Arabidopsis thaliana: one gene and its partner. The protein of the gene in region 1 interacts with the protein of each later gene in a pairwise test. Each region holds a gene or a part of one and is shown in the gene's direction. Other genes may lie near its edges.

Region 1 (3,660 bases):
CTTCTTCATGGACTTGTAACACATCAAAAATTGATTATAAAACATTTTTTAAAATTACACATTACACTGTTTGGACTTATGCATGATTCATGAATCAAAGTATAAACTTACTAATTTTCTGATTTCTAAAAAGTAAAGTGATGGTCGAATTGGAAGATGCGATGCATAAAAGTAGAAGCGTAGCTATAAGAATGAACTTGAAACTCATTTTGTCTTTGCCCTTTTCTGTTATGTCTATATGTGTAAAAGAGAATACAAAGTTCTTGTTAAAAGTTGTTTTCTTAGAGGGGGTGTATTCAATCTAGTATTTAAGTGATTTGTGTAAAATTTACAAATCTTATGTTATTCAATTATGGATTTTAAAAACTCTAATGAAATCCAGTTCTATTGAATTAATGATTTAAAAATCTATCTTAAAATTCATTGTTATTGAAAACAATTTGTGGATTTGATTCTTAAGAATTTTGAAGGATTTGAGAGGATTGAGAAGATTTCTTTACTTAAAAATACAGAAATCCAAATCTTATGGTTTTAGATGAAATTTGAAAGGAATGAGCAATAGGAGGAAAAAATATAAGTTGTTTCATTTATGTGTTAATGTGTGATACTATGAATAAATTGAAGTTGAGTATTGAGTGCACAATGAGATGTTTTTTGTATGTTCGTTTCAAATTTTGGAAAGGAAAACCAAAATAGCTCATACACATTTAAAGAGTGATTAATTGGTATGGACGTTACTTACTAATTTTTTTTCAAAATAAAAAAAACGATTCATGACTAAAATTAAGTTTTATATAAAATATATATATATTTGAACAAAAAAAATAAAATAAAGAATTTATATATAAATTGAACAGCACTAAATATGAATAAAAACAAAAATTTAGTTTGATAATATTAACATTACATGCCATTATGAATTTTTTATCTTCTTTAAAGATGGGTACTTTGTGTCTAAAAATACTAGCATTTGGATGTAAAAAATATTAATTTAGTTAAAACATTTGGATACCTAACATATTGCCACTCCTTACCCAAAAAATAAAACATATTGCCACTTATACTCTCAAACGGATTAGTTAGTTGTTGCAATAAATTATATTTAATTAATTGTTGCATTAAAAATGAATTAAGAAAAAGAGAATGGGAAATTCTTAAAAACACCCTTAAAATGAGTTTTTGTTTCAAAATACCATTAAAGCTATTTTTCCAAAAATACCACAAAACTGAAACTAAAACTTTAAGCCTTCAAACCTTAATTATAAACCCTAAAAACTAAGACTCTAAACCGAAAATAATACACTCAAACCTAAATTTTGAAATTGTAAACCTTACAAAATTATTTTGAGTGTTTGTGGTATTTCTGGACTAAAACAATTGTAGTGGTATTTTTGAAAAAAACTAATATTGGTACTTTTTGGACAAAAACTTAGTATAGTAGTATTTTAGGACATTTCTGAGAATTCCTTATTATATATTTTGAATGTGATAAACATATTTTTTAAAAATTAGTAGTAAGTATCAATTTTAAATGTAATCATATATGTGTATAAAAAGTTGTGTCAAAGAAAAATGTGCATAAAAAGTATTTTTACTACTTTTGTAATTTTTAGATCATAACAATGTGGTAAACACATATAAAACATGTGTCTAATTTAATGTTTCTTATTTTTCTATATTTATCTTTAATTGAAAACGCAATTGTGAAAATAAAAATAAAAAAGACCAAAAACAAAATAGATCATGGGTTTCAGAAAGAGAATCTTAAAATATTAGTAGTACAAAGTACAATCATTTTATGCTTAAAGACTTGTTCCAAGCCGTATCCTATCAAAACACTGCAAGTCTCTCTCTCTTTCAAGCCTTGTCGGTGGTTGAATCGAAAGCTATGTCTCAGGTATTTTTCATCAGTGTTGATTCTGTTCTTTGAATTCTCAATTTCTCGATCTGGGGTCATTATAAAGATTGTTCTGGATCTAGGTCTTATCTTATTGAATTCCTTCTTCTTTTCTATTCCATCGATCTAAATATGATATATCAATTGATCTGTGGTTCAAAAGCATTTTCAGAAACACAGATCTTGAATCTAAAAAGGGTTTGGTGTCTTGTGTTTGGTTTTCAGATGATCTTTAGTTAGTGTTTCAAATGGTTTTGGTAGATCACTTTTGTTAAGTTGAATCTGATTCTTAGCTATATGATTGTCTTGTTCGTTTGATCTATAAGTTGCACAGAAGTTAAGCTTATGGGTTACTTATGTTTATATATCGTTTAGACCGTTGTTCTCAGAGTGGCCATGACATGTGAGGGATGTGTTGGAGCTGTGAAAAGAGTTCTTGGGAAAATGGAAGGTTAGATTATTTTTCTTATTTTGGCTATTGATGTTATGATCTGTATCAAAATGCTTTGAACCCACTTGTCTTACGGTAAACATATAGATTCATCGGAAAAGATTGTCGATATCGCGGAATCTGCAATGTTTTCTATCTTTTCTAAAGCATGGAACATCACTCTCTTCACTCGGTTTTTTGGTTTCAGGCGTGGAGTCATTTGACGTTGATATAAAGGAGCAGAAAGTGACGGTGAAAGGCAACGTGCAGCCAGACGCAGTTTTACAGACCGTGACGAAAACCGGAAAGAAAACGGCTTTTTGGGAAGCTGAAGGTGAAACTGCTAAGGCTTAAGGAGAAGCAGATCATTTTATGTGATTCTCTGTTTTAATAAAATCTATGTGAAATCTTTTTATTTTCTTCTTCTGTTGCTTGTGACTTGTGGCTGAGTGTATTGGAACTATAGATGATACAACACACTTTTGAGTGAATAAATATGCACTGGGGCATTATCTGGTCTGATAAAGCAGGAGCCGATAACAAGCTTAGAAGAATTCTTACGTATGAAAGCAGCTCAGCGTAATCCAATTAGGCTTATGGCAACCTTTTTCCTTGGGCTTGCAAAATTGTGTTTTCACTAGCTGGAGGCTTAAAAGATGAGATGACCAAAGACCAAAGTCAAAACAATTCATGTTCTTTGGAAGAGTTCCAAGAAGAAATTGATCCAATCATTATTTTAATTAGCTAAAGAATCTTCCTATTCACTACAAGTCTCCAACATAAGACAAATCCTTGGATGCAGTTGAATCTTCCTCAAAAGAACCAGCCTCTGAAACGTTTGATGTTTTAAGAGAAGTAAAATTTTTTTTTTTGTTTTAAGATAGCTATGAGCTGGGCTGATTTTTCCACCGAATAATTTCTTCAGGGTGAGTGTAGCCGTTACAAATCTATGTTGGCCCAATGGGCCAGTTTGTTTGGAGAATCAATTTTTCAAGATCCATCATATAAAAACCTTTTGCGTGGGCTATATTGATGATACAATTCGACAAAATGGTAAATCTCAAAAGACTATTAGAAAATAATTAAAAACAAAAGAAAAGGCAAACGAATCGTGAAATTGTGCATCCAATTTTAATGATTAAATGATGAATTTTATGTTTGTTATTATTGATCTCTGGGTAACTTTTTGATATTTCATATTCATATCTGCAAAAAAAATAGATATTAAATTCCAAGGATCATAGCACAATTTTTCTTTATAAAGAGACCGAATTTGAGGAAAATTCATTGACAATGATGACACATTTTCACATAAACTTAGTCTTCACTAAAA
Region 2 (7,278 bases), on another chromosome or scaffold:
TTATGTTTTAAGGAACCATGAATTGTTTTTAAGATTACTTGAAGTCTACGTTTTAGGTCTTGACAACAAACAAAGAAAAAAAGAAAGGAAAAAGACTAATAGTCTAATACATTTAGGTCAAAGCTTATCTCTTGATCTTTCTTAAGTGGAAGGTTCATATTGTTATCTTTGCCTTTGTTTTTCTTGTTTTTTATTTGTTCGTAGAAAGCATAATGAATGATTCAGACAGAGAGAAAGTATATTTGGTGTATTAGCTTTTGATAAGTGGAGTGGAAGTCACATTCCAACGAAAGAAAAAGTAAACTAACTATTCCAATGTTTCAGAATTTGGTTCTCTGTAATAGTTCCGAGTTTATATCATACCAAAAAAAGAAGAAGAAGAGTTATAGATAAACTCATTAGATATGCGATTTTGGAAATACAATAGATATAAAATGAAGAAAACCAAAACCAAAACCATAGCTATATTTTTTTAAGAATATCCAATGGCAATAGCTAGTATCAGAATTCTTAGATTAACGCACATATTATTAGCTTCACATTGCATGATATCATTCGTTACAATTACTATTTGATTAATCTAAGAATATAATTAATATCTAATGGCAAGAGCTAAGAATTAGAATTCTTAGATTAACGCCTATATTATTTAGCTTCACATTGCTTGTTATCACATGGTACATTAGATTAATTGACGCCATGGTATACTCGTTTCCAGTACTATTAGACTAACTTCTATCATAGTTTTTATTTTGACTTTTGTCTTTGTTAGTTTTTTTTTTGTAATTGTTTTATGCAATTATTTTACCAATCAATGTTTTTTTTTACCAACTCTAGTCTACTACTATGTTTAGTAGTCTATATTAGTCAGTAAAGAAATAAACTATACATATTAATTTTTCAATGTTTTTTGTATGCATTTTTATTGGGTAAAAAAATAGTTCAATTGGTAAATTTTGTATGCATTTTTTTCAACAAACTAAAAATAGTATCATTGGATTTTCTTAAAGATATCTAAATGATACTATTTTGATACAATATTTTTTTAACATCATCTTGAATTTGAATAATACTAATCTGCTACTAAAAAATTAGTAAAATATTGGCAAATCATATATTTGTTCTAAAAGTCATTTATAATTGAAAAGATTCTTATAATTTGATTTAAAATTACTGACAAGTTACAACATGCTATCAAAAACTAGAAAATTTATCGAAATTAGATTTCAAACATATATTATTGCATTTTTTTCCTCATTTTCAACGTTTAAGTATAAATTAATTATAAACAATGGGTGCATTTATTTGACTACTACTACTATTTAAAAATATAAATAGGTCTCACGAGTCTACCACTCCTCGGGATCAGACTAGGCTACATCCATTGAACCATAGTAAAATTACCGTGGAAAAAACAGTACAGCTGTAACTTCCTATATAAACACAAAGATCCATGTGCCCATAAACATTTACTACTAGTCTACTACTATCGTATTTTTTTTCCTTCGTCTATGACTACACTAGGTTGTTTAATTTTGGAATCAAATTAATTAGTAGACGACGACTTCAAACAATAATTATTTAACATACACGTTTTGAACAACTGTATGCAATAATTAAAAAATCAACAAGACCAATCAAAATCATTAACAAATGCTGTAAAAAAAACCATTAACAAATGTCATTTAACATGTTTCTAAGAATATTTAATGAAAAAAGTATAGATCAAAGCTCTAGTGCTCTAGATTTTTCATTAAAAATCTATTAATATTTTCAGTTTTTTTTTTAAATGTTTTCAGATATTTTAAAACTCTATTAATATTTCCAGATTTTTTGTTAACTCTTGAACAAGTACTATTAATATTTCCTTTAATTACATACGTACATAGTAATAATAGATTTCTCCTATAAAATGCTTTTCTTTTTTTACTTCAGCTCCTATATAAAATACTCGGATAAATAGATCCTAATCAATAAATAAATAGATTCAGTTTTTCTTTTGATTTAGTCGTGTACAATGACGATCACAACAAAAAAGCCCATAAATATAATTTACTCAAAGTGATTAAGGGTAAAATTGTCATTATCTGATACGTGTTTTAGTTGAAAAATTGCTATCTTCCACCTTCTTCTATCTCTCTACGAAAATAATATTTTTGAGTTTTGTTTTTACTTTTTGTTTTTTTTTTTAAAATTTTTTTTTCTTCAAAAATTCCTCCATTGTTATTACATAAAGGAAAAAAGAAAGGTCTCTGAGATTTTCAAATCACCATCATCATCATCGTTGAAGAAGACGAAGAAGATACCTTCCTCTTTATCTTCTCCGATTTCTCAACCTTCCCGTCTGCTTGTCGTAAAGAAATGGCGCCGAGTAGACGGGATTTACAGCTTACTCCGGTCACCGGAGGTTCTTCTTCCCAGATCAGTGATATGGAAGAAGTTGGTCTTCTCGATTCGTATCACAACGAAGCGAACGCCGATGATATTTTGACTAAAATCGAAGAAGGAAGAGATGTTTCCGGTTTAAGGAAGATTCAGGTCGGAGTCACCGGTATGACTTGTGCTGCTTGTTCTAATTCCGTTGAAGCAGCTTTGATGAACGTTAATGGCGTCTTCAAAGCCTCTGTTGCTTTGTTACAGAATCGAGCCGATGTCGTCTTCGACCCTAATTTAGTCAAGGTTTCATCATTTTGGATTTTTGAGATCTTATATATATATATATATACAGTAGTTGTTGAAATTTATTGCTCCAGGAATTGATTTGATTTGGAGCATTTATTATTGTTGTATGTTTTTAGGAAGAGGATATTAAAGAAGCTATAGAGGATGCTGGATTTGAGGCTGAGATATTGGCTGAAGAACAGACACAAGCTACTTTGGTGGGTCAATTTACAATTGGAGGTATGACTTGTGCAGCTTGTGTTAACTCTGTTGAAGGTATTCTAAGAGATCTTCCTGGAGTGAAAAGAGCAGTGGTAGCTTTGTCTACATCATTAGGAGAAGTTGAGTATGATCCAAATGTTATTAACAAGGATGATATTGTTAATGCGATTGAAGATGCTGGGTTTGAAGGTTCGCTTGTGCAGAGTAATCAGCAGGATAAGCTTGTTTTAAGGGTGGATGGGATTTTGAATGAGCTTGATGCTCAGGTTTTAGAAGGGATACTTACTAGATTGAATGGGGTTAGACAGTTTCGTCTTGACAGGATATCTGGAGAGCTTGAGGTTGTGTTTGATCCGGAAGTTGTTAGTTCGAGATCTTTGGTTGATGGGATTGAAGAAGATGGATTTGGGAAGTTTAAGTTGCGTGTTATGAGCCCTTATGAAAGGTTGTCTTCGAAAGATACTGGAGAGGCCTCAAATATGTTTCGGCGTTTTATCTCCAGTCTTGTTCTTAGTGTGAGTAACTTAACTTATTTGAATGCACTCACCATTTATGATACAATCATTTGTCTTGAATCTGTTATCTAATGTCATTTAACAGAAATGATTTTCTTTTCCAGATTCCTCTCTTCTTCATCCAAGTAATCTGCCCCCACATTGCTCTTTTTGATGCCTTACTGGTATGGAGATGTGGACCCTTCATGATGGGTGATTGGTTGAAATGGGCCTTGGTAAGTGTTATTCAGTTTGTTATCGGCAAGCGATTCTATGTTGCAGCATGGAGAGCTCTACGAAATGGTTCAACTAACATGGATGTGCTCGTCGCTCTGGGCACGTCTGCTTCTTACTTCTACTCTGTTGGGGCTCTTTTATATGGAGCAGTCACTGGATTTTGGTCTCCAACATACTTTGATGCAAGCGCCATGCTGATAACTTTTGTCTTACTGGGAAAATATTTAGAGTCTCTTGCAAAGGGGAAAACCTCGGATGCTATGAAGAAACTAGTACAACTTACGCCAGCAACAGCGATTTTACTAACTGAAGGCAAAGGTACTTACTTGTCTTATCCTTGAATGATTTTTACATGGAAATGCTGGTTATACGGAAATGCTTCCAATGAGGATCGTTTATCAATAAGCTTGAAATCTATCAAAAACGAAAGCTCAACTATTCAACTTTGTTTAAGTTCAGTTCCAATTCTTTCTTCCTTTTTATAGGAGGAAAGCTTGTAGGGGAAAGGGAGATAGATGCATTATTGATTCAGCCTGGTGATACATTAAAAGTTCATCCCGGTGCAAAGATCCCTGCAGATGGTGTTGTGGTGTGGGGTTCAAGTTACGTTAATGAAAGTATGGTGACTGGTGAATCAGTTCCTGTATCAAAAGAGGTTGATTCACCAGTAATCGGGGGTACTATTAATATGCATGGTGCTCTTCACATGAAAGCTACAAAGGTGGGATCTGATGCAGTTCTGAGCCAGATTATTAGTTTGGTCGAGACCGCCCAAATGTCAAAAGCTCCTATTCAGAAATTTGCGGATTATGTAAGTATATTAGATAAACATGTCAATAAGCGTGTCATCCATTGGTGTTATTGCTTGTTCCTTTGTGATATAGTCATTAACAGGGACACAAACTTACCCTGGCTTGTCCAATTTTCAGGTTGCAAGTATTTTTGTTCCGGTAGTGATTACTTTGGCATTGTTCACCTTAGTAGGCTGGTAAGATCTAGTACCTTAGCTTTAATTTTTCTCTGAGAACGAAACACTTGGGATTAGTTTGTTCTTATTTCTTGATACATATGATTTTGAAGGTCAATTGGTGGAGCTGTTGGAGCTTACCCAGACGAATGGCTTCCGGAGAACGGGACTCACTTTGTTTTCTCGCTTATGTTCTCAATATCCGTTGTGGTAATTGCTTGTCCTTGTGCACTTGGCTTGGCAACACCGACTGCTGTTATGGTGGCAACAGGAGTTGGAGCAACCAATGGTGTATTGATCAAAGGAGGTGATGCATTAGAGAAAGCTCACAAAGTGAAGTATGTAATCTTTGACAAAACAGGCACCTTAACTCAAGGAAAAGCTACTGTGACAACCACAAAGGTCTTCTCAGAGATGGACCGTGGAGAATTCCTTACACTTGTTGCGTCTGCTGAGGTAAGATAAATCTTCCTTCCTAGCTGCTTGGATTGATAGTGATGTATAAACTGTTACTAAAGCTTTTCATATTGTCTCTTAATTTCCTTAGGCTAGCAGTGAACACCCATTGGCAAAAGCTATAGTTGCGTACGCTCGGCATTTCCACTTCTTTGATGAATCCACTGAAGATGGCGAAACAAATAACAAAGATTTGCAAAACTCTGGATGGTTACTTGATACCTCGGATTTCTCTGCTCTTCCCGGAAAAGGGATTCAGTGCTTAGTCAATGAGAAGATGATTCTGGTTGGGGTTTTATTCCATAATATATTATCAACTTCTTGCTTTTGGTCCTGTTCTCGCCAACTGAAAGAAAGTTTTGTTTTATCCTCTTTGATCAGGTGGGAAACCGTAAACTTATGTCAGAAAATGCCATAAACATCCCAGACCATGTCGAGAAATTTGTGGAAGATCTTGAAGAAAGCGGAAAGACGGGAGTCATTGTAGCCTATAATGGGAAATTAGTTGGTGTGATGGGAATCGCGGATCCTCTAAAGCGAGAAGCCGCTTTGGTTGTGGAAGGTCTCCTTAGAATGGGTGTTCGACCCATAATGGTTACAGGTGATAACTGGAGAACAGCAAGAGCAGTCGCCAAAGAGGTTAGAATCTTATTTCACAATCTATGTGATTAGGTGTAGTCATTCTTTTTTTTTTTGCATTCTGTTCGGTTATAGTGGTTCGATTTCGTTAAAATATTTACTTCTATAAGTGTGTAATCAATCTTGATAAACAATTGTTTTAGTAGAATATTGATGGGGTTTATGGTGGCATGAGTGCAGGTTGGTATCGAAGATGTGAGAGCAGAAGTAATGCCAGCTGGTAAAGCTGACGTTATACGTTCGCTGCAAAAGGACGGAAGCACAGTAGCCATGGTAGGAGACGGAATCAATGACTCTCCCGCTCTAGCCGCTGCAGATGTGGGAATGGCAATTGGTGCAGGAACAGATGTAGCAATAGAAGCAGCAGATTACGTTCTGATGAGAAACAACTTAGAAGACGTTATAACAGCCATCGATCTCTCTCGAAAAACCTTAACACGAATCCGATTAAATTACGTCTTCGCAATGGCGTACAATGTAGTGTCAATCCCGATAGCAGCAGGAGTGTTTTTCCCGGTTCTGCGGGTGCAATTACCGCCTTGGGCAGCCGGAGCATGTATGGCACTCTCTTCGGTTAGTGTTGTTTGCTCTTCTTTGCTTCTTAGAAGATACAAGAAGCCAAGACTTACCACTGTTTTGAAAATCACCACGGAGTAAAAAGTCCTTTGTTTTCTTACATTGGAGTGACTCGACTACTTTTGTTCTGAAAATAATTTGTATTTACTTTTCTTTTGTGCTGTTGTTGTTGTAATCATGTAACAACGATATTGGTCTTGGAGAGGTTTCTTTTTTTCTGTAAGAAATGTGTCCTCTCGGCCTTTGTTGTAAAAAAATGGTTTCGATGCTTTGTGCTCGATTATTAATGTAAAATGGTGAAAGTAGTGAATTCCTCTAATGTGACTATAAAATGATATTTTTATCTGATAATCGAATACAGATTTAACACGACATATTGAATTTAGAATTGTTCTGAATTTTGCGACATCAATTATTATTATTATGTAAGAAGTAAGCAACTATAGCTTTTGCCAATCTTTAGCGAGATTTCCGGTTTAATATACCTAAGGTTTTTGCTTCACGAGTCCATTGAAGTCCAAGATTAATTATCCATTCACCATCTTAGTGACTGTTTATTGGGAGTTGATTTTCGTATCAGACCGCACTGAACAGCAGTTGTAGATCATTTTTGATCTTTCGTTTCTTGTTCCTCACATTCCATTTGTTTCTTCTTTTTCATCTTGTGTAGGAGTGGTTAGCTTACGTGAAGTGGGATACCTTCTGTCTTAATTTTCAAGTCAAAGATCTTACCAACTTTTTCTTCCTTTGTACTTGACGACTCATACATATTCTTCTTCGTTCTTTCAATTTGAGACTTCTTCTCCTTCTTTGGTCTTCTTGTCAATTGGATGATTGAGTAGAGAATCAACTTCCAACAGTAATCAAATGCCTCAAAGTTTACAAAGTTGCATTGTGCTTCCGATGATTGTTGGACTGTCAAGATAGTGTCTCCTTCGACCATGTTCATAGTAGAGCACATGCATAGATCAAATTCGTGAAAGCTGATTTGGCATCTGCAAAGATCAAAGTGATACCTATACCTAT

Evidence for each region.
Region 2: the proteins of ATX1 (region 1) and RAN1 interact in a two-hybrid assay, tested with the Arabidopsis thaliana proteins (one study listed by BioGRID).

The regions. Positions count from the first base shown.
Region 1 is NC_003070.9:24,685,466-24,689,125, reverse strand, and holds ATX1 (homolog of anti-oxidant 1), read left to right. Parts: upstream 1-1,708; 5' UTR 1,709-1,798; coding exon 1,799-1,897; exon of another isoform or gene 1,898-1,980; intron 1,981-2,272; coding exon 2,273-2,348; intron 2,349-2,535; coding exon 2,536-2,681; 3' UTR 2,682-3,012; downstream 3,013-3,660.
Region 2 is NC_003076.8:18,074,901-18,082,178, reverse strand, and holds RAN1 (copper-exporting ATPase / responsive-to-antagonist 1 / copper-transporting ATPase (RAN1)), read left to right. Parts: upstream 1-2,018; 5' UTR 2,019-2,361; coding exon 2,362-2,679; intron 2,680-2,798; coding exon 2,799-3,398; intron 3,399-3,502; coding exon 3,503-3,932; intron 3,933-4,099; coding exon 4,100-4,425; intron 4,426-4,543; coding exon 4,544-4,602; intron 4,603-4,694; coding exon 4,695-5,037; intron 5,038-5,128; coding exon 5,129-5,323; intron 5,324-5,418; coding exon 5,419-5,676; intron 5,677-5,856; coding exon 5,857-6,333; 3' UTR 6,334-6,617; downstream 6,618-7,278. UniProt on the Arabidopsis thaliana protein: Involved in copper import into the cell. Essential for ethylene signaling, which requires copper. Acts by delivering copper to create functional hormone receptors.